Linked DNA regions of Elephas maximus indicus. The protein of the gene in region 1 interacts with the protein of each later gene in a pairwise test. Links are inferred from orthologs where the notes say so. Each region holds a gene or a part of one and is shown on either strand. Other genes may lie near its edges. The genes, in order: TXLNB, WASHC3, CEP57L1 and LURAP1.

Region 1 (7,151 bases):
AAACCAAAAGTGGCTTTTAGTAATGGTTGGAGGAAGTACCCCTTATAAAGAAGAATTAAAAAAAGGAAATTCATATATTAGAACACAACTACTTGCCTAATCCTTTTAAGATTTTCTTTTCCAACTTCTGCTCTTTATTGCTGACAGACTCTTTGGCTGCAGATGGCTCCCCAGGAGCAGTGGGTTCTCTTTCGGTCTCTTCAGTGGTTTCCTCATAGTCCCCATCCTCGTTCTCAGGCAATTCTGCATTTTCAGGCTGCTCCTTGGCTTTGGCAGCACCCTCTTTCCCTGTTGTGCCCACAGCAGACCCATATGTGTTTATGATGTCTTCCAGTTGTCGATTCAACTCTTCAGAGATATCATGAGCTCCCTTTTCAGGTTGCACACTTGGTTCTTTCTCTGATGCTTGGAGTGGAGTTGAGAACTCCTGGCCATCTGGCTTCTCTGGGCCATTTTGACCGGGTAACGATGAGGAACTGTCCTCTGGAAGTGGTTCCTCTGAGACTTGTACAGGTTGATTAGTCTCCATACTTAGAGTAGTATCTAGTGGTAAACACAGTTAGGGTTAATGTAATTAACCCAGTTAAATGTAAATAGGCTATCCCCAAATGGGTGTCTATTAATTACTATTTCTAACAAAGAACGAATGCATTTTCATGAACAATTGAGACTACGATCAGTAAGGTAGGAACAGCTGGAAGCTATTTTGCCAAATCAAGTCATACTACCAGCACATTTTTGGTTTTGGCCTTTAGATTACAGTAGTGTTCCCTACTGTTAACATTAAAAGGGTAATCCATGCTATTGCTCATCATGGCTGTATTTGTCATTTGGCTTGGAATAGTATGTTTGTGGTCATCCTTATCTTATAAATTCTATGTAGAGTCGCAGCCATTGGAAGTAAATGGACATATATATTTAAAATATTTCAATTAAAATGGTGTATATATATTTTTAAAAGTCAAAACATTCAATGTAAGAGCCATTGGACTTACTAAAAATCATTCATAATAATAACATCCCTAAACTCTATTTTGGAAACCCTGGTGGCGTAGTGGTTAAGTGCTACGGCTGCTAACCAAAGGGTTGGCAGTTTGAATCCGCCAAGCGCTCCTTGGAAACTCTATGGGGCAGTTCTACTCTGTCCTATAGGGTTGCTATGAGTTGGAATCGACTCGACGGCACTGGGTTTACTGGAAACTCTATTTTAACCCGTAAATCAAAATTGGATTAATATGAATATTTTGATGTAAATGCATTGTAATATTGGATATATATGTTCTTGCTTTTCTGGTATTTTCTTTTTCCTGGATAAGTAACATATAATTACCGATCAGCAAACAGTTTTGCTGAGGCTCAAGCTAGCATCATTTTTGGAATCAGGCGGAGCATGAAGGAAGGTATAAATAAGCAAACCAACTAGTATGGAAACATGGTGATGCTCATCATAATTATTCCTTGAATTTCTATAATACCTTTTGTTCCTACATAAAATATGCCTTTCTTTTAGAAAAAAACAGATCACTTTCTCTATTCAGTCAAGAAGCACTAGGATACATTATTTAATTTTATGAAACAGCTATGTTTAATGACTAAGGAGGGAATAAAGTAGGGAAGAAATCCAGATATAATATGGGCTCTTAGGAAATAAGGGTGAGGGACAAGATGAGTTAAAGATTCCAGCATTTCTGAACGAGGTTGCGATGGACTTGGCTTAGATCTTTAAGCTATGGTACATTTGATTTGTAAATGATACTTAACTGTGAGACCGCTAATTAGCAGCATAAAAACATGGCGGGATCCTCAAAATGCATACGTTTTGCTGTTGTGGTAGCACAAGAAAGAAAACACTGATCTACACACTGCACGGCTTCCTTCTCCCACTCTCAGCGCTGTAGATGTCAAAGGCTTGCACGCCAAAAAGAACAGAAAGTTCAACACACAGACTATGCCACCCACCTGTGGCACTCAGCAAGTATTTACTAACTTGGGAGGAAGTACATTTTCCTTCCACCCATTTGAATTCACCAACTTTATTACCAAATGATGCAGTAAACAGCTTCATTGCCTTCATCACTGGAATTTTCTTGATTCTGACCTCTACTTGTTGGGTACGTTCATCTATATATAACTTATGCCTGCTACCACGCTCCCCCACCCCTCCCTCCCAAACTTGGAGAAAGACACATGGCACCTGCTGTCCAGCCAGAAGTTATTTTAAGCTCTTCTAAAAGGAGTCATGATGTTTAGCACTCTATCCTTGAAAATCAAGGGAAGAGAATAATTTTTATATCAATTGAATACTGTAAACATGCACAGGCTTAAGCCTATGTGTGGGTTTTAAAGTGTTATGGAGGTTGTCTCAGAACGAAATAAAATTTAGAGTAATCCAAACATCAAAGCAAGTAATAAAAAGCCTGCAGTTCATAGGAGTTTTAGGTGTGGTTAGTCTAAATGCAAGGGCTTTATTTGTATTGATTTGTTTGTTATTCATCAGAGGCCGTAATCATTGCTGTTTTTTTTTTTTTAAATAATGAATTCCATGAATATCCTTCAATCTCCTGTTCCACATTTACCTTAAAACAATAACGGAGTCACTGCAAATTATTGGACAACATAACTCCTAAAAGTGGTCTCAAGATAAATCAAAGACAGGAAAAAAAAAATTCAAAGGCACCTTGTTACTTTTAAATCATCTCTTTCCTGATTAATTTTACAGCAGAAAGAAGTATTTCTAAATTTTATCATATGCAAACTTCACTCTCTACTTCTTTTTTTTTCCTCTGAGAGAATTCTTCACTTGTATTGGCAATCCCAGCAGATTCTTACACACACATCCCTGCCTGAGCAACACATTTTAATGATAAATAAAACAATGGAAAGTTCTTCAACAGTTCACTGGCAGTCTCATAGTTGCCAGTTTTGAACAACACAAACCGCACCCCGCATCTTCTCACAGAGCTTGAGGGGGGGTGTTTATCATACTTACCGGAAAGCCAGGAGCTAAGGAGAAAGAGAAAGGAGAAGAAAGAGGCAGCAAAGAGCAAGTCAGAGCAGCAGCAGCAGCAGCAGACAGGAGGCAGGCCACGTTTTTACAAGGGAGAGAGAAACCAAAGACACACACACACAGACACACACACACAGACACACACCCCACGCTGGCAGCAGACAGGAGGGGGTGGGGAAAGGAGCATTGTATGACACAGCAAGAGAGAAATACACCCAAGCTTCAGTAGGCGTCTCACGGGGAAATGTCGTAGAAAAGAGAAGCAGCCGGTAGATCTTACAAGATCCTCCATGTTTTGTCTTTTTAAAAGTCTAAACTGTGAGTCTATAATGGCCCTTTTGCTAGTGTAATTTTTTGCTATTGTTGTTCTTTGGGGCAGAGATCAGTTTTTCTTATTTCTTGGTTTATTTCCACCGTGGTTTATGATTCATGTTTCTTTTTTTTTCCTACCTTCTTATGCTAGCCTCGTTAGTGTCAGGTTTTTGTAGGAATCGTGGGAAAAGAATAACAATGGCATGGCAAAAATGAGATGGCAGGACCACTTTGATTCTGATGACATTGTTCGGTTTGTTCGTAAAATTTGAGAGACAAATTTAGATGGGTATTTTAGAACCATGTTTAATGTTGTCTTCATGTTTATAATTTGAGGCCCCCCTGGTTAAGCCAACTTGAAGGCACCTAACATCAACAACAACAACAACTGGTAAATGGCATGATCTCAGATCACATTGTCTAACTCAGGTAACTGTTCTCATCTGCGACATGCCCTCAGGGAAGCAATCTGCTTCTTTCACCTTAGTGGGCAGCTTTCCCACCTTCCACAGCAGCTTTTCCAAGTCTTACCCACCCTTCTCAAGTCTTCAGTCTGTTCCTTCATCCTCCTTAGAAAAAGAATCTCCTTTTCATTCATCATAAAATGCCTCTCTTTCAACCTACATCCATTCCCTTTTTCTTTCTGTTTCTGGAGAAAGTGTTCCCACACTTTTCCAAAGCACATCCACCCAGATTTTTTAAAACAGATCCAGAACAGGAACACTGGTGTTCCTGTTTTGGGGACCAGATGGGCATAGTGACACCCACTGTGGTAGGCAGAATAATAGCCTTCCCCAAAATACCCATATCCTTATCCCTGAAACCTGTAAATACATTACCTTACATAGCAAGAGGGATTTTGAAGATGTGATAAAGTTGTTGTTAGGTGCCGTCGAGTCGGTTCCAACTCATAGTGACCCTATGTACCACAGAAACATTTCCTGGTCCCATACTATCCTCACAATCATTGTTATGCTTGAGCCCGTTGTTGCAGCCACTGTGTCAATCCATCTCATTGAGTCTTCCTCTTTTCCACTGACCTTGTACTTTACCAAGCACAGTGTCCTTCTCCAGGGACTGATCCCTCCTGACAACCTGTCCAAAGTATGTAAAACGCAGTCTCACCATCCTTTCTTCTAAGGAGCATTCTGGTTGTAATTCTTCCAAGACAGATATGTTCATCCTTTTGGCAGTCTATGGTATATTCAATATTCTTTGCCAACACCACAATTCAAAGGTGTCAATTCTCCTTCAGTCTTCCTTATTCATTGTCTAGCTTTCACATGCATATGATGTCATTGAAAATACCATGGCTTGGGCCAGGTGCACCTTAGTTTTCAAGGTGACATCTTTACTTTTTAACACTTTGAAGAGGTGCTTTGCAGCAGATTTGCCCAATGCAATGCATCTTTGATTTCTTTCTTGACTGCTGCTGCCATGGCTGTTGATTGTGGATCCAAGTAAAATGAAATCCTTGACAACTTCAATCTTTTCTCCATTTATCTTGATGTTGCTTATTGGTCCCACTGTGAGGATTTTTATTTTCTTTATGTTGAGGTGTAATCCATACCGAAGGCTGTGGTCTTCGGTCTTCATCAGTAAGTGCTTCAAGTCCTCTTCACTTTCAGCAAGCAAGGTTGTACCATCTGCATAACACAGGTTGCTGCTGAGTCTTCCTCCAATTCTGATGCCCTGTTCTTCTTCATGTAGTCCAGCTTCTCGGGTTATTTGCTCAGCATACAGATTGAATAGGTTAGTGAAAGGATACAACCCTGATGCACACCTCTCCTGAATTTAAAACACTCGGTATCCCCTTGTTCTGTCCGAACAACTGATCTATGTACAGGTTCATCATGAGCACAATTAAGTGTTCTGGAATCTCCATTCTGTAATAAAGTTAAAGATCTTAAAATGGAGAGATTATCCTGGATTATCCAGGTGGACCTAATGCAATCACAAGGCTTCTTGTAAGTGAAGGGTCCTCATATGTAATACCAGAAGCAGAGGATGGAGTGATGCAACACCACAAGCCAAGGAATGCAGACAGCCTATAGAAACTGAAAAGGCAAAGAAGTGTATTCTCCCCTAGAGTCTTCAGAAAGATCGCATTCTTGGTGACACCTTGATTTTAGCCTAGTAAAACCCATTTTGGATTTTTAAACTTCAAAACTGTAACATAAATTGTGTTATCTTAAACCACTAAGTTTGTGGTGAACAGGTATAGCAGCAAAAGGAAACTAATACACCCGCCCTCAAACTCTTTTCCACCCTTTTATGTTTGCCCACACCACACTGAAAGAACAGAAGAAGTTTTGGTGAAGGTGGAGAAAAGAGAGAAAGAATACTATGGGATAATAACACTCTGAAGTTATTCCAAAAGGTGGTCAGTATTGCCAGTAGAAAGGTTATTTATCTTGTAGGTGGTTTACCCTGAGACTACATGGGAAACAGTACTTTCCTTTTCTTCATGCCTGTGCCTTTCAACACTTCCTCCCATGCCTAGGACCTGAAGGGGCCTGTTCTCCTTTTTCCCATCTAGGTCCAGAGGAAAGACATATGAGACCCTGAAACTGGCAAAGTGGCTCAGAAGCCTAAAAGAAAAACCAAAAGGGCTCTCTGGAAACTGAGAACAAAAATAAACATCCCTTGTGCACTGTCTTCTGTGCTTAGTTTGTGTATGTGAACATCTAGAGCGGCATGGTCCAATCGAAATAGAATTCAAGCCATGAATGTGAACCACATATTCAGTGTTATGTTTTTAGTGGCCACCTTAAAAACGCTGGAGTCCCTGAGTGGCACAAGCAGTCAACATGCTCAGCTGCTAACAAAAAAGTTGGAAGTTAGAGTCCAGCCAGAGGCATCTGGGAAGAAAAGACTTAGCAATTTATTTCCAAACAAATTAGCCATTGAAAACGATATGGAGCACAGTTCTGCCCTGACACACATGGAGTTGCCATGAGTCAGAATTTTTTTTTAAAGGTAAAAGAGAGAACTGAAATTAATTTTAATAATATATTTATTTTATCCAATGTATTTAAAATATTATCATTTTGACATATAATAATGCAAAACTTATCAATATTATATCTTAGATTCTTTTTTTTGTATTAAATCTTCAAAATCTAGTATATATTTCACATATGCACTACATCTCAATTGAAACTAACCACATAACATGTGTTAAATAGCCACATGTGATGAGTGGCTACCATATTGGACAGTGAGGATCTTGAGGCAAACTTTTTGGTACTGGACATCATCTTGTTCTTTCAAATAATAGGGGTGAGGGTTCTATTCTTAATCCCATTCTCTAAACATCTTGCCCTATCATTTATTTCCTATAAATCTCATTATTCAGTTATTCTCTCTTCTTGGCTTGACTCAATCTCCAAAAATGATGAAATCTCCATTATCATTAAAAAAAAAAAAAAAAAACTAACGCACACAAAAATGTTGTCCTTCATTTCTTCTTTCCTTTGTGCTGTGGCTGGAGACAGACTTCCTGAGTTTGAAACATATTTCTACCACTGACTACTGTATAAATTTGAGTGGATTACTTAAACTCTGTGTCTCAGTTTAGTCACTTGGTAAATAAGGATTATAGCTATACCCACCTTTTAGAGTTATTTTGAGGATTCACTGACCCTTTCACATACCAAGCACTATAACTCATTGCTTCATCACAAAAATTATTTAAGGAATATTTATGCTAGTTTCCTCTACAGCCTCTCACTGCAGACCTCTGTATCTGCCCTATCCACCTAAGGAAAATGTACGCTTGAAGGTTACCAATGGCCCACTTGCCTAAAACAATGGTCTTTTCTTGATCTCT
Region 2 (7,684 bases), on another chromosome or scaffold:
TTCAAGTTAATAGACCAGAGATGGAATCCCAGCTCTGTTACTTTCTAGCTGTGTGGCTGTGGGCAAGTTATACAGCAGCCAGTGATGAATGAATGAATGAACAAACAAATGAATAAATGTCTAAGCAAATGATTTAAGCCTTTCTACAGCTCAGTTTCTGTGTAACTGGGATACCTGAACCTCTCTCAAATGGCTGGGCTGTGATGATGATCACGTAAAGCACTTAGTACAATGCCTAATACAGAATAATCACATGATAAATATTAGTTATTGTCTTTACGGAAACCCTGGTGGCATAGTAAAGAGCTACAGCTGCTAACCAAAAGGTTGGCAGTTTGAATCTATCAGGTGCTCCTTGGAAACTCTATGGGACAGTTCTACTCTGTCCTATAGGGTCACTATGAGTTGGAATTGACTCGACAGCAACAGGTTTGGTTTTTTCCTTACTGTCATCACATTGAGCAAACATATCTATAACTGACACAATTATCCAAACCTCTAAAGTGAATTGTAAAATACGACTTACAATCAACCACAGGTTATCATCCTTAGGAGAAAGAGGCAAACTACTTTAAACTTATTGAGTTTTTGGTCAATAAGCTTTTTCTCAGAGTTCACGAAGAACTAGGAAGTAGTGACATAGCCAAAACAGTTGGGGGAGAAGCTGAGAGAGGAACAGATGGGGGAAACTTGTGAAGCATGAGGCTTAAAAGCAATCAGTAAGTAAGTGATGATTATTGTTATCTTTGCTTTAGCTGTCAAACAGACAACACTCTCCAGGCTTTGAAAATTGTTAGGTACTACAATGAGGAGGGGTTATCCCTGCCTTAGAGCAGCTCAATCAAGTTGCTTTCACAAGAGTGTTTACTTCTTGTTTTGTTGTTGTTTATTCTATTTTTTAATCTGGTGATGAAGCATATAGGGATGGAGTATCTGCTCCTCTCTATTAACAATCCTGAGATACTCCCCACCTAGATACTTCACCCTACTCTGGTATAAAAAGTGAAGGGCTAAATCCTTGGCTTACTGCTTTTTATTCAGTCAATTCTATCTCCAATTAGAAAGGCACAGTACAAAATAAAATACATGGAAGCAAGCACCTAGGCTCTGGACCTGCTGTTAGATAAAACACACTGTTTTGATCCCCTGACTCTATCAACTGGCATATCATACCATATTTTATTTTCTTTTGTCTTAATGAGACGGTAAAAAGATTTTGATAAGTAGGCAAAAACAACAGCAGGAATCTTATCCGCTGAAAACAGTTTTCCTATCTCCATAAAAATTGTAGTAACAATAATACATGTAACACTCTACTAGCTAAGGCTATTTACCTCATATGAAACAGAATGAACTTCAAATTGTTTAATCAATCAACTCACCTAACTATCTAAGCCCCAGTGAATTATCTAATCCCCCTGATTTACCTCTCTCTCTTCTTTCTTAAACTTAATTTCAAGCCATGTTTCCAATTTGCCTTACCCATCTTTTTTTTAAGAACAAGAATCCCTGGATTTGGTACCTACTCCTTAATCTGGTACTTAATCCTCACTTACGAGTTATCTGCAGAAAATATTCTTATTTCCATAATGACATCTGATGCCAAAGTTAGCTTTCTAGGCTACCTCTCCAGGGCATCTTTTGGATCAAACCAAACCAAACCTGTTGCTGTCCAGTGGATTTAGATTGATGGGGACCCCACAGGGCAGAGTAAAACTGCCCCATAGGGTTTCCAAGGAGCAGCTGGTGGATTTGAACTGTTAACCTTATGGTTAACAGCCAAGCTTTTAACACTGCACCACCAGGGCTCCAGTTTGGATCAAGGAATGTAAAACAATTTGAAAATAAACTGAAACAATATATACTTAAAAATGTAAATATCTGGGTAAGAGCACATGTAACAAATTTCAAAATCACAAGTGTTTTCAACTATGAAATCTTGGAATTCCTTTTATTCTCTTTAATCACAATAAGCTTTTTTTTTTTTAACCACAATAAGTCTTACTGAACTATCTTCCAAAGACCTTTAAAACACTATTCAGCAGAGGTGGAGTGCAGGACTGACTTTAGCTTAACAAAACAACTGGGTGACAAGAGGCCAATCTGAACAGAGTGATTCTTCTTTAACTCCATTTGCCATCCTCAAAAAAAGCAAAGTGATTTCTAGGCTACTCTATAAACCAACATCACAGGACCTACCTCCTCACAAATTGTAGAAAAGTGGTTGAGGAACTGTACTGTGTGCACCACAAATTGGTTTAGAAATGCCACCGTTCTTTTCTGTTGAATAGCTGGCACCTGTGTTATGTAAAAACAAACATGATTCGTACCGGAGGAACGTACACAGTGCAATTCCTTTGACATATGGGCATAGGAACAGGGCGTCTTGCTGTGTGATATGAGTTTCTTGAAGTATTGACAATCGTCATTAACTTGTTTTCATAAACTGTGAGGTGGGGGGTCCGAAGACGATAGAAGCTACATAAAATTTTGAGAATTGACTCCGGATTCACAAATTTTACAGGTAAAGGCAACACAGGTAAACACACAAAAACACGTGGGGGCCGAATCAAAGAGGTAGGGTTAAGAGGTCGCAACGGGCCCAAGTCGCCAGTCGCTCGTCTCCGGGCACAGAGACACGTTACCCGGGAAGCGAAGGCTGGGAGAGGCACAACATCCCCTTAATCAGCTCTGGAGGGACCCCTTTTCAAGGTGAAAGGTGAAGACTCCCTCCCGAGGCCAGCAGAAGAGGGGCCCGGGGCCAGGTACAAGGTGGGGCCTGGCGAAGTGGGGTCTTTCTGGGAACGGGGAGTCCCTTCCTCGTCCTCCTCCCCGGTCTCCGGAAGTTCAACTCCGTCTTTTACAAACCTTGGTCAAGTCTATGCCCGACCCCATGAGAGGAAGCCCGTCCTCATCCATCTCCTCAGCTGGCGGGGAACCCAGGGCTCTCTTCCAGACCCCTCCCAGACAGGGCCCGCCCAACCCGGTAATAGCGCCCAGACACCTCCACAAATCCCCGCCTCCTCAGCCCTTCCGCCGGAAGAAAATGCCTCCGCTCGCCAATCACTCGGCGACTCCCCGCGAGCCCGCCCCTGAGCTCAGCATTCTGGGATTGGTAGTTCTAGGTCCAGATTGTGACGTCAGACTGGGGGCCGCAGGGTTGAACCAGGCTGAGGTTTTGGTGGTAAAATCTTGAAAAGGGGGCCAAAAAAAAAAAAAAATCAGGAATTGCATTCTTACAGTGATCTGGAAAGAGCTTTGCACTCTTGCACACTTAGAAATGAGAGGTGGAAGTGAAGATGGATAGGATGAAGAATACTTTTAAATGCTTATCGTTTCATTGGTTTTTTTGGGGTTCATGTCCATAACTAGTTGAGTATCATCGAATATTTTTAATTGTTGTCTTTCAGCAAATCTGTTGAGTCCCTCTCATGTTCTAGTACTCTACTGGGACTTGTTAGGTGCTGTCAAGTTGATTCAGACTCATAGCGACCCCATGTACAACATAATGAAACACTGACCAAACACTGTGTGGTCCTGTGCCATCCTCACAATCATTGCTATAGTTTTGAGCCCATCGTTGCAGCGACTGTGTCAATCCATCTTGTTGACCGTCTTCCTCTCTCTCTTGCAGACTCTCTACCAAGCATGATGTCTTTCTTCAGGGACTGGTCCCTCCTGATAACATTTCTAAAGTACATGAGACAAGTCTTGCCATCCTCACTTCTAAGAAGCAGCCTAGCTGTACTTCTTCCAAGACAGATTTATTCATTCTTCTCGCAGTCCGTGGTATATTCAGTATTCTTCACCATCATTCAAATGGGTAAATTCTTCTTCGTTCTTTTTCATTGTCCAGCTTTCACATGCTTATGAAGTGATTGAAAATACCATGGCTTGGGTCAGATACACCTTAGTCACCAGAGTAACATCTGTGATTTTTAAGATTTTAAAGTGGTCTTTTGCAACACATTTGCCCAATGCAATATGTCCTTCGATTTCTTGACTGCTGCTTCTATGGGCATTTTTTGTTGGTCCAAGTAAAATGAAATCTTTGACAATTTCAGTCTTTTCTCTATTTGTCATGATGTTGCTTATTGGTCCAGTTGTGAAGATTTTTGTTTTCTTTATCTTGAGGTGTACTGCATACTGAAGGCTGTAGTCTTTGATCTTCATCAGTAAGTGCTTCACATCCTCTTCACTTTGAGCAAGCAAGGTATCATTAGCATAATGCAGGCTGTTAATTAGTCTTCCTCCAGTCCAGATGCTGCATTCTTCATATAGTCCAGCTTCTCATATTATTTGCTCAGCATACAGACTGAGCAAGTATGGTGAAAGGATACCATCTTGACGCACACCTTCCCTGATTTTAAACCACACAGTATCCCTTTTTTCTGTTCAAATGACTGCCTCTTGGTCTATGTACAAGTTCCTTAGGAGGACAATTAAGGGTTCTGGAGTACTGAGACTACAACTATAAATAAGATAAATAGTGTGACAGTTGTAGGCAACTGTATTGTTTTGTCTTTTCACCTTGATAAGGTCTACATGAGCCTAAATTTTTCCATTAGACTGTAAATTCTTTGAAGGATTTTCTTCATTTCTTATGACTCCTCAGTTAGTACCAGCTGCTCTGCTTTGCAATGAAAACTCATTAATAATTTTAATACACAGTTTTGAGGTTCTACTATGATCCAACTATGGTATCAAGCACTGAAGATTCATCCACCCATCCATTCTTTGAACAGATGTTCCCTACAATGTGCCACCAAAACCAAACCAAACCCACTGCTGTCAAGTTAATTCCGACTCATAGTGACCCCGTAGGGTTTCCAAAACTATAAATCTCTATGGAAGCAGACTGCCACATCTTTCTCCCACAGAGCCACTGATGGTATCGAACCGCTAACCTTTCAGTTAGCAGTGAATCACTTTAACCACTGAGCCACCAGGGCACTATGATATGAGTTGGGAATACAACAGTTAACAGAACACACAATTCCTGCCTTCACGTAGATAAACAGAAAATAAACAAGTTAACAAACAGATACTAAGTTGTCCAGGAAGAGAGACAGAAAAATGAAAAAAAAAAAATTTAGTGTGATAAAAACTAGGCTAAAATACGCCCCAAAGAGGAGCACCTAACCCAGGCTGGTGAAATTAGGGGTGACTTCCTGAAGGAGTTGATGCATGAGCTGAGTTTTGAAGATGCAAACATAAGCAAGATGAAGAAGATTGGGAGGAACATTCCACAGAGAGTATCAACATGTGTGAAGGCACTGATGTTTGAGCCCCAGAGACCTACATTTCCCCTGTAAAAGCGCCCCTCCGTTGGTTTCCACCCCATCTTTAATAGGAGCAAGGATTCCCACTGAACTCGTTCCAGAGCTCTGCTTGCTCCTGGCGAGTCCTCACCCTTTCCTCCTCCACTATCACTCTGCACTTTGAGGTCATCATAATTATTCCTGGACTCCTAAGTTATCTCTCAGACTTCCAACCTCATATTGATTTCTACAAGCCTTTTCTTGCCTCTCACCAGCTCAACAAATCCTTTCACAATGCCCTCTGGAACTCAGTCATTAGCAAAATCCCCATTTTCTCAACGTCTTCTTTGACCATTCCTCTCTTTCTGCTCTAACTTGCCTGCTTATTAAGGATACTGCTTCCTGTGCAGCCTGTAGTTGTTTTCTTGCCCACATCCCTGAATCATTAGTTTAGGAGGTGTTTTCGTTCATCCTCACTGCTTCCATACCATTGCTTTTCCTTCCCCTAAAAATGCCCCACAGCTCTGAGTTCATGCTATCCTATATAGAAAGATACCTTGTAGCATCCCTCTACAGACCTTTAGGTCACTGCTACTCTTTCCTTGGAGTCCTTACTTTTTGTCTCACTGCCACTGTTTATAACACTATTATCATAACTTGTGGGATTTCAATATCTGCGAACATAATCTTTCTGGTACCTTGGTGTCATGGATTGAATTGTGTTCCCCCCAAATATCTGTCAATTTGGCTAGTAGGCCATGATTCCCAGTATTGTATGACTGTCTATCATTTTGTCATCTGATGTGATTTCTCTATGCGTTGTAAATCCTATCACTATGATGTTAATGAGATGAATTAGTGGCAGTTATACTGATGAGATCTACAAGATTAGATAGTGTCTTAAGCCAATCTCTTTTAAGATATAAAAGAGAGGAGCAAGCAGAGAGACATGGGGATCTCATACTACCGAGAAAGCAGTGCCGGGAGCAGAGCGCGTCCTTGGACCTAAGGTTCCTGCGCAAAGAAGCTCCTAGACCAAGAAAAGGTTGATTAAAAAAAAAGACCTTCCTCCAGAGCTAACAGAGAGAAAAAGCCTTCCCCTGGAGCTGACACCCTGAATTTGTAGTTGTAGCCTACTGGACTGTAAGAGAATAAATTTCTCTTTGTTGAAGCCATCCACTTGTCGTATTTCTGTTACAGCAGCACTAGATAACTAAGACACTTGGTCTCACAGTTCCTTGAACTCCTGTCCTTTAGTGCTCTTGTCCTCCATTTTCTTATTTCAGCCACACTCACTCTTCCATGGGCATTCTCCAGAACTTTTCATTGCCAAATATCTTCACTCTCTCCATAATCTTAATTTGAAGGATCCACTGTCTGGTCGGTACTTTCGATCTTTTGAGCTCATTCTCTCTGTTATCTTGACTTTAACAGTTCTTCGAGCCATCACGAGAAAGCTTTTTCACTGTACCATAACCTCATTATATCCTCACTTCCTTTTTTACCCAGTTTAGATCTTATGATTCATTATAATCACCCAACAAACTTTTCCCTCCCTCCCTTCATCATACTTACCTGGCAAAAACGTAGTAAATGGAATGTTCTGTCTCTTCTGTACCAATTGTATACAATTAATACCGGTTGGCCTCAACCAGACCCTGTTTCACTTTAAATTCATGCTCTCTTGAGGTTATACCGTCACAAGCTCCCACTGCCACATCTCTTTTCAACCCACATCTGAGCCCTGAAACCTTGCCTTTCCTACAATTACTATGGATAATCTCTCCTACTATATAAAGCCAATTCCTCTATTTGTGTACTAGATACTATTCCTTCTCACCTACTTGAGAACAAAACAAAAACATCACTCCAATGATTGCCCCCACTCTCTCCTCTATCGTCAATGTTTCCCTTTTCGTTGGATCATTCCCAGCTGAATACGAACATGCTATTATTTCACTGGTCTTAACATAAATGTCTTGACTCCACTTCCTTCCCTTTCCAGCTACCCTTTTCAGAAAGATTCCTCAAGATTGTCCACCATCACTCCCTTCGATTTCTCTCCTCCCAGTCTCTCCTAATCCTACTCCAGTTAGCCCACTATGCCATAAAAACTGGTGATCTCAAGGCCACCAATAACCTTCATAATGCTAAATCCTTTGATCATTTCTTTCTTCTTATTTAGCTTGGATAAGCAACATGTGACAAAGTTAATCACCTTCTCCTGCCTGAAAATTTCATTTTCCTTCCAGGATATTACTCTTTTCTGGTTTTCCTTTTATCACTCTGGCTACTTCTTCTCATTTTCCTTTGGCTGGTTTCTCCTCATTTTCCCAACCTGTAATGTTTTTTACATTTATATATCCAGCCCAAATCTCACACTGGAAGCCAGTGTGGCTGAAGCAAAGTGTACAAGAAGGGGA
Region 3 (7,471 bases), about 34 Mb from region 1:
ATCTCCTCAGGAAACTCTTTCCTCATTATCTAAAATTAAATTTTTTTGTTTACTTCTTTACGGTATGTCTCTCTGGAGTAGAATGTCAAAATTGTTCACCACTGGTCCCCAGTTCTTAGAATGACATTTACCAGAGATTCAATAAATATTTGTTGAATGAATGATGTAGGCACAGAAACTCACTAATCTGTTAACTTCATCTACTGAGACTGATAAGAAACAAAAAGAAGCCAAATACAGGTTTGTTCATCCACTAAATATTTATTTAGTAGCTTTCAGGTCTCAGCCAATACTCTTGAGAACTCACAGCCCTGACTGGAAAGACAGACACATAAGCATGTGATTACCCCATAATAACGAAAGCATCTATTATAATTGTGGCAGGAATAAGGTGCAATAAATACAAAGATGAAAAAAAGAGTATAAATCTATAGGAAACCTTCACAGTAGAAGAGACTCTTGAATCTTTTTCAAGGATTAATGAGTCTTAAAATAAATATCATATAGTTCATGCATTTTACTTAAGAAAAGGGAAAGGAGCATCTACCATATGCTGGGGCACTTTACATCTCATTTAATTCTCACTATTTTTTTTTTTTTGCTCTATATTGTTATTCCTGTTTCACAGATGTGGAATTCCAAGTTAAGGGAGGTCAAGTAACTTGCTCAAGATTACATAGTACATTAATGTTGTATCTCGTTGAGTTGATTTCAACTCATAGTGACTCTATAAGACAACTGCCCCACACGGTTTCCAGGGCTGTAATCTTTACAGAAGCAGATTGACACATCTTTCTCCTGCAGAGCAGTTGGTGGCTTCGATCTGCTAACCGAAAAGTTAGCAGCCGAGTACTTAACCATGGTGCCACCAGGGTTCCTTAGTACAATAAAAAAAACAAACAAAAAAAAACCTATTGCCATCAAGTTGATTCTGACTCACAGCGAAAGTAGCAGAATTTGAGACTAGGTATGTCTGACTCTGGAAACCCTGGTGGTGCAGTGGTTAAGTGCTACGGCTGCTAACCAAAGGTAAGCAGTTCAAATCCGCCAGGCGCTCCTTGGAAACTCTATGGGGCAGTTCTGCTCTGTCCTATAGGGTCACTATGAGTTGGAATCGACTCGACGGCACTGGGCTTGGTTTGGTTTTTGGTATGTCTGACTCTAGTACCCATTAAAAAAAAAAATTACTGTTTAGTCATTTCTCACTAATGGCAACCCCATGTGTGTCAGAGTAGAACTGTGCTCCATAGGGTTTTCAATGGCTGATTTTTCAGAAACAGACTGCCAGGCCTTTCTTCAGGGGCTCCTTTGGGTAGGCTCCAACCTCCAACCTTTCGTTTAGCAGCCGAGCTTGTTGACAGTTTCCACCACCCAGGGACTCTGGTACTCACTTACCACTACATATCACAGATCTTTGGCCCTGTACTCCCTTCAGAACCTACATATTTCTATTTTCCAAATAACTCTTAACAAAACTGATTATCTGGTTTCCCAGCCTAATAATATAAATATGCGGGAAAATGATTCAGGAAAAGACCAAAGTGAAGTATGCAGACAGAAAGAGAAGGCACTGAAAAACTTTAAAAATTCAAAAAATATATCAAGATGGCATTTCTCAGTGTAGGGTCATACAGTCCTATACACCCCACCTTCTGTTTTACAACAGTGCTTGGTGTGCATCATGATGAGCCCATTACAAAAAAAAAAAAAAGGTTGTTTCATCACTACAGTCTAGGGCCAGAGAAATAACTTTTGATGCCTAAGAGGGTAGACTTTAGGTATCTAGAAAATTAATTTCTCTGTGGTACCTCTGGACAAATAAATTACAATGATTGTTTCCAAATTGTTCTTGGGAAGAAATATTCCAAGATCTACATAGAGTCTTAATTTTATGGAAATGATTATTTTTCTGCTGCTTTAAACTAAATTCAAGCCAGTATAGAAAACTGTTCATCTTAGTTTACATATAACCAAAAACCAAACCCACTGCTGTTGAGTCGATTCTGACACATAGCGACCCTATAGGACTGAGTAGAGCTGCCCCATAGAGTTTCCAAGGAGCGCCTGGTGGATTCGAACTGCTGACCTTTTGGTTAGCAGCCGTAGCACTTAACCACACACCACCAGGGCTTCCTAGTTTACATATATCCAAGTAAATTATAAATTTAAAAAATTTTTCATAGTATGACTTTGAAGAACACCTGTGGATTAAGTAACTTATAGATTGACAAACATATATAAACAACATTACCGAACATTCTTAGTATCTAAAGGCAACCTTTTGCAAAAAAAAATTCTAATAAATAATGTACGAAATGGGGAAAACTAAATATTTTTAATCTGCTGCACTCACAATTTAAATAAATATGTATGTGAAAAATAAACAAAACATGCAGGCAAATACAGAGAAAGTTGGCTGAGTAATTTACCATAAAAGTGTTCCCATCATATATCCTGCCTGGGTTTTGAATTCCTTTATAACATGGGCTTTAATTTTTTTTTTATATAATTCTTTTTAAAAAAGGAAAGCTTACATTTAGAGAACACACCCTGTGTTTTGTTTGTTTTGTTTTTAAGAACAAGAGAAAATTGTTTCAGCAATTATCCTGAACAAGCAGACTAGGAAACATTGAATATCCTCTTATCATTTTGAAGGTTTTTATATGGGACACTTCCCACCCAGAACACTGTTTGTAACAATGGGAAAAGTACACTGGCTCTGCTTCACAACAACGTGAAAAAGTTAATATCAGGAAAAGCCAAGTCTTTACTTGCAATTAACTGTAACTATCACACACACAAAATTTTTTTTTATCACATATATTTGAGGAATGCAGTTTCTGCCTAAAACTCTCTAGAAAGACAATACTTTGTTTACTTATATTTGAAAATTGCTTTTTACTTTAGTTCATTTTTTTCCAATTTTAACCCAAAACTCTATTTTAAGATGATTAGAGTTTACATCATGACGACGTATTAGAAGTAAACACAAAGTGAATAACTGCAAGTAAAATTTTGGTGTACTAGATAGACGGCATTATTTATAAAGCTTTCCTTACCTGGACGCTCTTCAGAATAAACTCACTTTTCTCTCTTACATCTTTAAAAGGACACCTCTTAGAAAGCATGAGCAGATGAGCAAGAAGTTTATTCAACCCATCCGAAGAAACAGCATTTGAAAGCTCGTGTGACGGACGATGTGGTGTCTCTTTAACGGAACGAAAATACTCGGTTTTCCTCAAAATTATTTGCCTAATGTTTTCCAGTGCTATCTCTCTGGTACTTGAATCTCTACTGCACAGTCCATCCCATCTCATTTCATTCTCTCCTTCAGCCATGTCAACTTGGAGCTTTTCTTTTTCAATCTTCAGTTACCTTTCACCATGTCTGCAAAAGCAGTTTTTATTTTTTAAATCAGAAATGTAAGAGTAAAATCAGAGAAATCGAATCGTCAAGAAAACGCACGTTCGGGTGACATTTGGAACCGGTTGTCTCTTATACGGATGATTTCCACCGAGTTACAAAACAGAGCTCACCCTCTGGTTCTACACTGGTCAAAGACTGAAGGGAAAAAAAGTTGGAAGGTTGCAACCTTACGGCGCTGGCTGTGCTGGAGAGGGACTCTCGGGGAAGTGCTGTCCTTCGTCTCGCGGGGTCAGCGGATATCCTCACGACGTGGAGCTGTCAAATCCGTGCTATGCCCAGAAAGGCTGGTACCAGTTGAACACTCTCCAGTCATTCGGGGGTTTTTGTCAGTGCAGGCACGGCGGTCACCGGAGCGTTCCCACCCCGCCTCTCCGGCACCAGTCCCCGCCCTCCGCAGCTCCTCCTTGTGCCCCAGCGGCCCGCTGACCGCCAGCGGGGACGACTCGCCGAGCCCTGGCCCACGGGCCGCGGCGGTCGGAGACTTGAGCGCTCCAGGGGGCGGGTGTCTTCTGCAGATGCAGTCTCCGAGGCAGTACTGGAGGAGAGCGCCCTCGGCCCCGCCGATTCCCGACCCTCAGGAAGACGCCGCTTCTTCTCCGATCCCTGCGCCCTTGCCCACCGCCCGCCAAGCCAGACCAGCACAGGGTTGCCCCGCACCGGGCTGGGCCGCAGAGCTGGCGGTGCGGCAGAGCCCCAGGCACAGAACCCGCCCCTTCGTCCAGCCCCATCGGTGGGGATCGGCCCAAAGGGCGGGAGCAAGGAGGGGAGATGGGGTCCTCACCCCCAGCCCCTCCCCTTTCTCCGCCCGGCACAAACCAGGAGCCGCCCCTGCCCCTGCGCCCTCTTCCCCGCCCAGGCAGACGCGACCCGCGAAGGCAAAAAAAAGCCATTGGAAAAAGCCCCGCCCTTCGCCCTGCTACCTCCGGACCCCAAGCCCGCGCGCGGCCGCCAACGGCTGCCGGTTCTTACGCATGCGTAACCTCAAGGACGGTGCATGCGCCTTAAAGGCACTTAGCTTCTTCACGGTTCGTTTTCTGTTGTCAGACGTTTGGTGTTGGAGTGGAGAAAGGGGAAAAAATTAAGTACGCTGAAACTTTATCAAAGACAAGCAGGGTAAAGAAAGACGACACGGAGCACTCCTGGAAGAAACAGGCTAAATTTAAGATTTGTCTAAAAATAGTAACGGCCTCTTTATTAGCCCGAACCCCGATTTAAGGAGGCAGGGTGTCCTCGCGTTGACTTCTGGGAAACGTAGTTTTTATTCTGCGGGTGTTTTGTTTGCGACAGAAACTACAACCCCCAGGGACCACCGCGACTTTGCCTGTGGCGGCCTACAAGCCAACGGTTAGGCAGCGCGGATTGACTGGATCGTCGGCTTGGTGAGCACTGTAGGCTTGGCTGCTTTCTTTCCTGGCTTTCTTTGACAAGATTTTTTTTTTTTCTTCCTCCTTTTTCCTCTGGGGTTTTGGAGACGAAGCCATCCAAGGCTGCTGCTCAGACAGTCCAGGGACTTTTTCCAGTGACCTGAGTAAGAAGTACTAGTCCAGGTGTCTAAGCTCCTGCGCGTGGTGAGGCGAGAATTTGGAGGTCGCGATCCCGAAGTTGGGAGTGAGCGGCCTTCTTTAAGATGCAAAAAGGATGAAATGAAAACGGATGCTCCGCGCAGCTGTCCCTGCGTTTGCCCTCTGTAGTGAACATGCGCGGGATGAATCAGACACCCCCGTGCAATTGAGCGGAAACCCTGGTGGCGTAGTAGTTAAGTGCTACGGCTGCTGTCCTAGAGGTCGGCAGTTCGAATCCACCGGGCGCTCCTTGGAAACTCTATGGGGCAGTTCTACTCTGTCCTGTAGGGTCGCTATGGGTCGGAATCGACTCGATGGCAATGGGTTTGGTTTTGGGTGCATTCGAGCCTAAGCTTACCTCTGTGTAGAGATAGTCTTCAAATGAATCCCAAGTAGGGCATTGAAAGCGACTTGTGAAATCCGTTTCGAATGAGACTAAAAGAAAAACAATCTCCAACATTCGTAGATGATAAGAATTCTTGCAGGCTTTAACGAGACCATATGGGGGGAAAAAAGACCATATTTAAAAAGTCATGCCACTTGAGAAAAGTCGGGGTTTGAAAGCCCATCAATGAACTGATAAGATTAGAATTAATTTTTCACGTTGCAGAACAGATCCAGTTCTAAAAATTTAACATTGTAGGCACGGTCTAAACAGTGAAAGAGACACAGTCCCTACCTAAACAAAAACAGAACTATGTAATAGTGTTATCTTTGGAGTGTCTAGAAAGAGGGCCACCCAGCCAAGTCTTGGAAGTCGAAAACCAAACCAAACCCACTGCTGTTGAAACGATTCTGACTCATAGCGACCCCATAGGGATAGGGTTTCTGAGGCTGTACATCTCTACGGAAACCAACTGCCACATCATTCTTCCAAGCTGCTGCTGGTGGTTTCCAACCTCTGGCCTTTGGGTTAGCAGCCGATGGCTTTAACCACTGCGCCACCAAGGTGCAGTGGAGTCTCTTTCCCAGGGGAATTGGGGGCCAAAGAAAGAGCATATGCTGAAGCCCAGAAGCGAGAGAGGTATGGAACTTTAAAGAAACTGCAATAAGCCAAATCACATAATTTGGGAGGGATGGCTTTTTGTATATTGATATATTTTGAAGCTGCAGAAAGACAGGTACTGTAAAATTTTCAGGTAGTTTCTCAAAGTGACCAATGAGTTGGTGTAATTTGGCAAGCCTGGAAGGATTCTAATGCTACTGGTTTAAATCAGAATAAAAATGGTTATAGCTATTATTTTAAGTGTGATTTTAAAAACAAAAAAACATTGCTTTTTTTGTGGGCTCATCCTTCTTTACCCAGCCCACAAAGGGTAAGGTGGTTTCTCAAGGCTAGCTTCCCTTTTCACTCCATAGTTGAATATGATCTCAACCATATGCATGGATTCACCAGTACCTATTTATTGCAGATGACGTCCAAATGTTTTTGGTTTTTGGTTTCCAAATGTATAGCTCCATCCAGGTTCACCTCTCAGCTTTCGTATATCCAGTTATCTCCTTAATATTTTTTCTCACGTATCTTAAAAGCACTTCAAACTCAGCATGCTTAAAACCAAATACACAGTTATTCCCTGTGAATCTGGTTTCCTTCCAGTGTTCCCTATCTTAGTAAAGGCCACTACCATCCATTCACTTGTGAAAATTTGAAAGCTAAGCATCATCCTTCATTCCTTCCTGTTGTTCATATCTCTATAGCGAAATTGTTAGCAAGTTCTGTCAATCTTATCTTCCAGATATCCCTCAAATCCACCCATTTCTCTCTGCTTTCAAAAAAACCAAACCCAGTGCTGTCGAGTCATTTCTGACTCAGAGAGACCCTATAGGACAGAGTAGAACTGCCCCGTAGAGTTTCCAAGGAACCCCTGGCAGATTTGAACTGCCTTCCCTATCTGCTTTAGCACCATCCAAATACTTGTTGAATACCTACTATATAACAGGACCCAGGGAATATAGCTCTGACAGCAGCAGAGTGTAGTGGCCTAGAAGCCAAGTGAAAGTGTTTGCCTTCTGCCAGAGAGCTTGCATTCTACTAGGGAGAGACAGACAATACATAAATATGTGAATGTATAGTGAATCAAATGAAGAAGACAAATGCTTTGAAGAAAAAACTTGAGAAGGGGAATAGGGAGTGTTGGGTTGTGGGGGTGGGGCTCACTTTTAAATAAGGTAATCAGAGAAGACCTAACCAAGAAGGAGGCATCTGAGGGGATCTGAAGATGCTAGGGGGAAGAACATTCAGGTGAAGAGAACAGCCAATGCAAAGGCCTGTGGGCAGGAGCATGCCTACACATTTGAGTTGTTAGCTGCCATGGAGTCAGCCCAGACTCATGGAAACCCCATGCATGACAGAACAAAACACTCGGTCCTGCATCATATCCATCATCAGTTGTGGATTGAACCATCATGATCTGTGGGGTTTTTATTGGCTGGTTTTCAGAAGTAGATTGGCAGGCCATTCTTCCTAGTTCATCTTAATCAGA
Region 4 (7,840 bases), on another chromosome or scaffold:
AGAGGCCACCCCAACTTGATTCTTTTCCAAGGGGGATTCAGGTTTCTTCTCTGAATCACCCTACCCCCTCCCCTCAACATGTACACATTAGACTCTCTACTCAGCCCTGGGATAACGGGATATGGCTACCTCATTGCTCCATCCAAATCAGACTCTAGGGTAAAAGCCTGGAGATCCCACTCCCAGCATCCTGGTTGTGGACTGAGATTCTCAGATCATTGTTACTAGAAGGGCCTTTAGAGAGTACCTAGTTCCAAAATCCCACCCCCTATTCCCAGAGGCAGAAAACTGAGGCTGGAAGAAGAAAGACAGGGTCCTGCTCAAGACCACAAAAGAATTCAGGAGCAGAGCCAGATCTCAAACCCATGTCTTCACCTTCCTGGCCTAAAAGCTTTTCCTCAAGCTGCTCTGTGGGGGTGGGTTGTCCTGGAAACAGTTCTTTGGGTGGGAGGACCAAGGGGATGTTGCCATTGTTTCTCCTTCCCACATAACCCAGACTTCAGCTGGTTCTCTCAACCCTTGAATAGAGATGGGAGGCATGAGGGAAGAGGCAGAGCTGACCTTGGCCTCAAAGGCAGGCCTGCTCCTCCCTGTAAGGACAGCTGGGAAGGGGTCAGTTGAAGGACAGTCCTTACAGGACTTGGACCAGTCCTGCCACCAGTGGCTCCAAGGGAAATCCCTCTGCCCCACCCCTTGTCCTCCCTGAGCCCAAGCCAGTGGTCACGGCAGAGTGCATGAAGGGATCAATGACACCCTGGCCTGAGGAGGGAGAAAGGATTGGGGTAGGGATTTGTGGGTGTCTATAAGGAGCCTCTCCCTGTTCTGGCCCTCAGAAGACTCCCTCCCTCCAGCCTCTGGCCAGGCAAAGTTAAGAATACAGAGAGACAAATCAAAAGTTAAATGTACCTCCTTTCAAGTTCATGGACAGTAGTCTCCAATACAGGCAGAAAAGAGTGATTAGGCATGGCTCCCCTGCTGACTTCCTGCCTGAGCTCAGGCAAGCTGCTTAATATCTCCAAGAGAGTTTCCATAGCTGTGTGACAGGGAAAATGATGACTACCTTTCTCACTTCAATGACAATGTGTTTAAAGCATGTGACACAAGGCAGGTCTCAATGTTAAGATGTAAAGTGTAGTCAGACCACCTGGGTTCAAATCTTGGCTCTGTTGTTTACTTTTTGTATGACCTTGGGCAGTTATTTCACCTCTCGGTGCCTCAGATTCTTCATCCATAAAATATCGCTTATGTAATAGGAATGCTGTGGGGATTAAGATAATATCTCGTAAAGTATTGCATGATTCCTGGCACATGCACTCACTGAAAGTTAACTTTTATTTGTAGGATAAGGCAAAGCCAGCCCTCCCCAACCCCCAGCCACCCTGCGCCTCAGGTTAGCAGAGTCAACCTTCAAGGCCAAGTGCACCCTTGGCATTCAGGTCCTTCCCCCAGGGAGCCTTCCCTGACTGCTCCGCCCACAAGGCTCTCCTATCCTCTCAGGAGGTAAGAACCCTAACTGGTCTGGGAGCCCTGTGATCTCCTCCCTCCATCCCTCACAGCACAGCCTGGCACACAGTGGGGCTCCAGGAAGACTTTTTAGCTGACACACTCACTGTGGGCTCCTGGTTCTGGGCCAGGGACTGGCCAGCAATTTCTCAGATCCCTAAAACTAGCTGCAAAGTGATGGCAGGTGTAAATCACCACCTGCTCAGGAACCAGGACCCTGGGGAGTCTGTGAGGAGTGGGGGGAAGCGGGTAGCTGCCCTTTTGGCTCTGAATCTAGACCAGCAGCACCAGGGATGAGGGTGCCTGTTTCCTCATCTTCTCCCCAGGGAGACACAGATGGGATCCAAGTATCCAGTGTACCTTGGGGTAGGAGACTGAGTCAGAGGTGAGGGAACAGACACTGATGGTGCTCCTACTCTGTGTCTGTCATGGTTCTAGGAACTTTCAAATATTTCAAGCGGGAAAGGGGGAAGTGGGGACATTGGGCAAAGGGAGGGAGAATGTTTTTAGTGCTCCTGGTCCAGGCAGTTTTCAGCAGATATGCCCTCACCCAGATCTCTTCGGTGCTGAATCCTGTCCTCAATACTGGAGCCTCAGATGAACCAAACCCCTTCCCAGTCCTCAAGAAGCTCCCAGTTTGGAGAGGGAGAAAAAAAACTGGATGTCCTATAAAGGGGGCTGAGGTGGAAACAGGTGGTCCCTGTGTGGATTTGTGCTCTCGTAGGTTCTCAGTGGAAACCCTGGTGGGTAGTGGTTAAGTGCTACGGCCGTAAACCAAGAGGTCCGCAGTTCGAATCCACCAGGCGCTCTTTGGAAACTCTATCGGTCAGTTCTACTCTGTCCTAGAGTCACTATGAGTCACTGTGACAGTGGGTTTTTGTTTTTTTTTTTTAGGTTCTCAGTAGCTTCTCAGACTTCATTTTCCCACTCCCATTTATTTGACAGGATAACTTCCTAGAGTCTGTGCCTCCCACCCCAAGTCCTCAGGACCCATTAACACCCCACTTACCCTTGCGGGGGCAATTAATGGAGATCAATCCACCTCTGCCTCAGGGTTTGTGAAAAGACTTGGGTGGGGTCCTGAGGGGTAGGTGAGGGGTTTTAACTCGCTCCTCTCCAGCCCAACTCTGGGGGCATCAATCAGTCCTTTCCGGCCCTACACAGGATACTCCGACCCCCTGGCCCGTGGAGCCGACACTCACCAGCTCTATCCTCAGCGCCATGATCTTGTCCCCCAGGCCATGGCCCGTGCTAGCTGCCCCCGGGAGCAGCAGGGCGCCAGGGGTCCCTGGCTCCCATTCGCCTCGCAGCCCGCGTAGCAGCCCTTCAGGGGTCTTCCTGCCCACCTTGCCCTCCACGTCTCGCAGGTCAGGCTTCTGGGACTCCGCGGCCCCTTCCATCCGGACCCAAGCCTGAGCAGTGCTGGAGACCGGACGCCGGGGTCTTGTTCCCAAGGGACCGCCAGTCTCCCGCGCCTATGCGGAGCCGACCGGGTGGGTCCCCGCCCGCGCGGCGCGGGGGGCGGGAGGAAGGTGCCGTAACACTCAGAAAAGCTGCGCAAATCTAGGTATATATTCGAGTGCTGCGCACACAACCTCTAGCCCTGGAATGTGTCGAGCTGGCCGATACTGGATTTGTACCTGAAAGGGTACCTAGGAGAACTCCACGTCTTCTCCCTACTCGGGCACTGAATCCAGCCAGGGACACAGCAGGCGCGCAATAAATGCGTGCTGAATCAAGGCTAAGCATTCTCAGTCGGGGATGTGGAAGGTTAAAGGACAGCGGTAGCAGAGGGCTGCAGAGGATTTTGGAAGGCTTCCTGGAGCAGAGGAGCTGGGTCTAAAACTGTCTAGATTTAGCTAGTCACTGGAACACACACTCCAATACTAGCCCCGTGGCTAGAACTCAAGAGAGAAGGAGCAGAAATGAAAGCCCTCCCGGCCAGTGAGGAAGCAAACAGTGCTGAAGCTGGAGAGGTCCACATGGGCCAAATTATGCTGGCTCTTGTAAATCCGTCTTCTTAAATTTGATTGTGCATATGAATCTTCTATGAATCTTGTTCTGTAAGTGGTGAGGCCTGAGATTTTGTATTTCTAACCAGCTCTCAGGTGTTGGCCATGCCACTGGTTCACAGACCACACTTTGAGTAGCAAGGTTATGTTTTATTCTATGGGCAATGAAGAGCCACTAAAAACTTTTTTTTTTTTTTTAATTTGGCTTGGTTTTTTTAGTTTAAACCAAGAAATTCCAGTCTATGGTTATAAAAGGATTTACAATGAAAATATTACTCCTGCTTTCCTTTCCCACCTCTAGTCCAATACCCCATAGGCAACCACTTTCAGTTGTTGTTGTTTTTCTTTTCCTGGTGTTTAACCCATAATTCTAAACAGTAGGCTTATACTATTACTATTTGATTTTAAACATTGTCTACTGACTTCCTATTATAAATATGGATATAACTTATACTCTCTATTTCCCTTCCTCCAATGGTCCTTTATACTTCTATCACTATTTTTAGTTCATCTAATGGTTACCTTTGTGATTTTAAGTAACACTGTTCTTTAGACAGTGTCTCTTCATCCATGGAAGGGCTTTAAGTCAAAGATTGACAAAAAACATTTGTAGTTTTGAAAGCTTACTCTGGATTTCACAAGGAAAAAGGATTGAAGGGGTAAAAATCTGGTGTCCAGGAGGCCAGTTAAAAGATGAGAAACTGAAACAGCCTGGACTAGCAGACTGGTTGTGAGATTGGAAAGAATCAGACCAGAATGGGGCTCTTTAGGATGTAAGATTGACAGGACTTGGTGACTGGTTACATTCATTTATTTACGGTGGCATTCAATAAATATTAGTTATGTAGGAGAGGTCAGCACAACTAGACTAAACCAAAAGCAAAGAGGTTTCCTGAATATAACTGAACACTTCAAAAGGGCAGAGTAGCAGGGACAGGGCCCTGGGGACCATGTTTTCGGGGGACATCTAGGTTAATTGGCATAATAAAATGTATCAGGAAAATGTTCTGCATCCCACTTTGGTAAGGGGCCTCTAGGGCGTTAAACGCTAGCAAGTGGCCATCTAAGATGCACCAATTGGTCTCAACCTACCTGGAGCAAAGGAGAATGAAGAACACTGAAGACACAAGGTAAAAATAAGCCAAAGAGACGGAAAGAGCCACATAAACCAGAGACTACATCAGCCTGAGACCAGAAGAATTAAATGGTACCCAGCTACAACCAATGACTGCCCTGACAGGGAACACAACAGGGAATCCCTGGGGGAGCAGGAGAACAGTGGATGCTGACCTCAAATTCTTGTAAAAAGAGCAGACTTAACGGTCTGGCTGAAATTAAAGGGACCCCAGAGGTCATGGTCCCCAGACCTTCTGTGTGCCCCAAACCGGAACCATTCCCAAAGCCAACTCTTCAGACAGGGATAAACCAAAACCCAGTGCCGTCGAGTCGATTCTGACTCATAGCGACCCTATAGGACAGAGTAGAACTGCCCCATAGAGCTTCCAAGGAGCATCTGGCGGATTAGAACTGCCGACCCTTTGGTTAGCAGCCATAGCACTTAACCACTATGCCACCAGGGTTTCCTTAGACAGGGATAGGACTGGACCATAAGACAGAAAATGATACTGGTGAGGAATGAGCTTCTTGGCTCAAGTAGACACATGAGACTATGTGGGCAGCTTCTGTCTGCAGGGAAGAAAAGAAGGCAGAGGGGGACAGGATCAGGTTGAATGGACACAGGAAATACAGGGTGGAGAGGAGGAGTGTGGTGTCTCATTAGGGGGAGAGCAGTTGGGAGTATATAGCAAGGTGGTTTACAAGTTTTTGTATGAGAGACTGACTTGATTTGTAAACTTTCACTTAAAGCAAAATAAAAAAAAATTAATTAAATAAATATTTGTTAAAAGAACAAATAAGTTATTTCAACAAATATTATGGAGAGCCTACAATGTGCTAAGAGGCCTGGTGGTGCAACAGTTAAATGCTTGGCTGCTAACCAAAAGGTTGGCAGCTCCAACCCACCTAATGGCTCCTCAGGAAAAAGGCCTAGCAGATCTGCTCCTGGAAAAATTTTTGTGTGCCAAGAAAAGTGGGATACAGACCTCAAATTCTAGTAAAAAGACCAGATATAATGGTCTGACTGAGACTGGAGGGACCCCAGAGGTCATGGATACCAGACTCTCTGTTAGCCCAAAACTAAAACCATTCCCGTAGCCAACTCTTCAGACAAAGATTAGACTGGACTATAAGACATAAAATGACACTGGTAGGGATTGTGCTTCTTAGCTCAAGTAGACACATGAGACTATGTGGGCAGTTCCTGTCTTGAGGCGAGATGAGAAGGCGGGGGGACATGACTGGGTTGGATGAACATGGGAAATACAGGGTGGAGAGAAGGAGTGTGCTGTCGTATTGTAGGGAGAGCAAGTAGGGTCATATAACAACGTGTGTATAAGTTTTTGTATGAGAAACTGACTTGGATTATAAACTTTCACTTAAAATGCAATTAAAAAAAATTATTGTATGCCATCCAGTCAATCCTGACTCACAGTGGCCTTATAGGACTGAGCAGAACTGCCCCATAGGGTTTCCCAGGCTATAAATCTTAGTGGGAGCAAATCGCCAGGTCTTTTCTCCTGTGGAGTCTTTGGTGGGTTCAAACTGCTGACATTTCAGTTGGCAGCCAAGCACTTAACCACCGTGCCACCAGGGTTCCTTCCGTAAAGACACAGCTTAGAAAATCCTATGGGGCAGTTCTGTTCTGTCACATGGGGTCACTATGAGTCCAAAATCGACTCGATGGCACCTAACAACATATTCTCTACACTATACCCTGCAACAACACTATGTGCTAACCATTGTGTGTAGTGTAGAGAATATGTTATTGTGTGCTGCTCAGTTGATTTTCACTCAGAGCGACTCTGGGACAGAGTAGAGCTGCCCCCATAGGGTTTCCTAGGCTGTGAATATTTATCGGAGCAGATGGCCAGGTATTTTCTCTGAGCTGTTGTTGGGTTTGAACCGCTGACCTTTTGGTTAGAGCTGAGCACTTTAACCATTGTGCCACCAGAGCCCCCTGTGAAGAATATAGTGGTGAGCAAACAGACCTGGCCTGGGGACTGGACAGAGAAGGAGGAACCAAGGCTAACGCCCAGCTGTTTGGCCTGATATGATTCAACAAGGAAGGAAACCTAAGAAGAGGTCTGGGAGTGGGAGGAGATGATTTCAGCCAGAGTCATGAATTGGAGGGGCCTGTGGAAATGTCCTTGGGAGCTCTGGTGGTGTAATGGTTAAGAGCTACAGCTGTTAACTGAAAGGTCAGCAGTTAGAATCCACCAGCCGCTCCTTGTAAACCATATGGGGCAGTTCTACTCTGACCTATAGGGTCGTTATGAGTCAGAATCGACTAAATGGCAACGGATTTGGTTTTTTTTTTTTGGTGGGGATGCCTGGAGTCCCTGGGTGGTACAGTTGGCTAAGTGCCCCACTCTGAAAGGCTGGTGGTTTGAACCCACCTGGAGGATCTCAGAAGAAAAGCCTGGTGATCTGCTTTTGAAAGGTTACAGCCTTTAAAACCCTACGGAGCAGTTCTCTGCACACATGGGGTTGCCATAAATTGAATTCAACTCAACGTAACTGTTTTTTTTTTTTTTTGTCCAAGATGTCCAGCAGTTAGTTGACACATGGGTTGGCCTGGAGCTCAGGAGAGAGGTTAGGGCTGCAGTTATGAGTTTACAAGTCTAGGTGGTAATAGAGGTCATGAAAGTGGGTGAGATCGTCCATGGAGAATTTGTGAAAAGAGGGTTAGGTAGAAACCCAAAGACATCTTTTAAATATGTTAGTAAAAAGTGTTGGGTTTTCTTCTGCTCTAATATACGCTTATTAGAAAAAATCCACCGAATGCCTCAATTCCTAAAATAAGTTAACATTTTGCGGGATACCATCCCACCCTTTAAGAAGCCAGTAGAATATGAAGAACTTAAAAATATTATCACTGGTCTTCTGGCTTCCTCTAATGTCTCCTTTCAATCCATTAAAATAAAAATCAGGTTATATCACTCCCCTGCTTACAATTGTTCCGTGACCACCCATTAACTTCAAATAAAAACTTGTAAGAAATGCAAACTGCCACCCTAGCCTAGACTATTGAATCAAAACTTCTAAGGATTAAGCCCAGGAATCTATTTTAACAAGCTCCCCAGGTGATTCTGCTGCAAGTTAAAGTTGGAGAACCGCTGTATTAGTCTAAGTGCTTTGCATGTGTTTTCTCCTTTAACCTTCGCAACAACTCTCTAAGTATTACTATTGCCGGTATTGTGCTCTAG

The links.
Region 2: the proteins of TXLNB (region 1) and WASHC3 interact in binary tests that used the Homo sapiens proteins (3 or more experiments, as listed by UniProt). The two-hybrid records come from large-scale screens. The link is inferred for Elephas maximus indicus from reciprocal best matches to the Homo sapiens genes TXLNB and WASHC3.
Region 3: the proteins of TXLNB (region 1) and CEP57L1 interact in binary tests that used the Homo sapiens proteins (3 or more experiments, as listed by UniProt). The two-hybrid records come from large-scale screens. The link is inferred for Elephas maximus indicus from reciprocal best matches to the Homo sapiens genes TXLNB and CEP57L1.
Region 4: the proteins of TXLNB (region 1) and LURAP1 interact in binary tests that used the Homo sapiens proteins (3 or more experiments, as listed by UniProt). The two-hybrid records come from large-scale screens. The link is inferred for Elephas maximus indicus from reciprocal best matches to the Homo sapiens genes TXLNB and LURAP1.

Annotation. Positions count from the first base shown.
Region 1 is NC_064819.1:209,102,567-209,109,717, forward strand, and holds the start of TXLNB (beta-taxilin), read right to left. Parts: upstream 3,019-7,151; 5' UTR 2,990-3,018; intron 544-2,989; 5' UTR 530-543; coding exon 97-529; intron 1-96. UniProt on the Homo sapiens protein: Promotes motor nerve regeneration. May be involved in intracellular vesicle traffic.
Region 2 is NC_064822.1:168,413,146-168,420,829, forward strand, and holds the start of WASHC3 (WASH complex subunit 3), read right to left. Parts: upstream 3,019-7,684; 5' UTR 2,920-3,018; coding exon 2,869-2,919; intron 2,299-2,868; coding exon 2,200-2,298; intron 1-2,199. UniProt on the Homo sapiens protein: Acts as a component of the WASH core complex that functions as a nucleation-promoting factor (NPF) at the surface of endosomes, where it recruits and activates the Arp2/3 complex to induce actin polymerization, playing a key role in the fission of tubules that serve as transport intermediates during endosome sorting.
Region 3 is NC_064819.1:174,987,483-174,994,953, forward strand, and holds the start of CEP57L1 (centrosomal protein CEP57L1), read left to right. Parts: upstream 1-4,454; 5' UTR 4,455-4,805; exon of another isoform or gene 4,806-6,012; intron 6,013-7,471. Other genes in the region: SESN1 (sestrin-1), read right to left, coding at 3,060-3,338. UniProt on the Homo sapiens protein: Centrosomal protein which may be required for microtubule attachment to centrosomes.
Region 4 is NC_064821.1:88,831,293-88,839,132, reverse strand, and holds the start of LURAP1 (leucine rich adaptor protein 1), read right to left. Parts: upstream 3,007-7,840; 5' UTR 2,904-3,006; coding exon 2,706-2,903; intron 1-2,705. UniProt on the Homo sapiens protein: Acts as an activator of the canonical NF-kappa-B pathway and drive the production of pro-inflammatory cytokines. Promotes the antigen (Ag)-presenting and priming function of dendritic cells via the canonical NF-kappa-B pathway.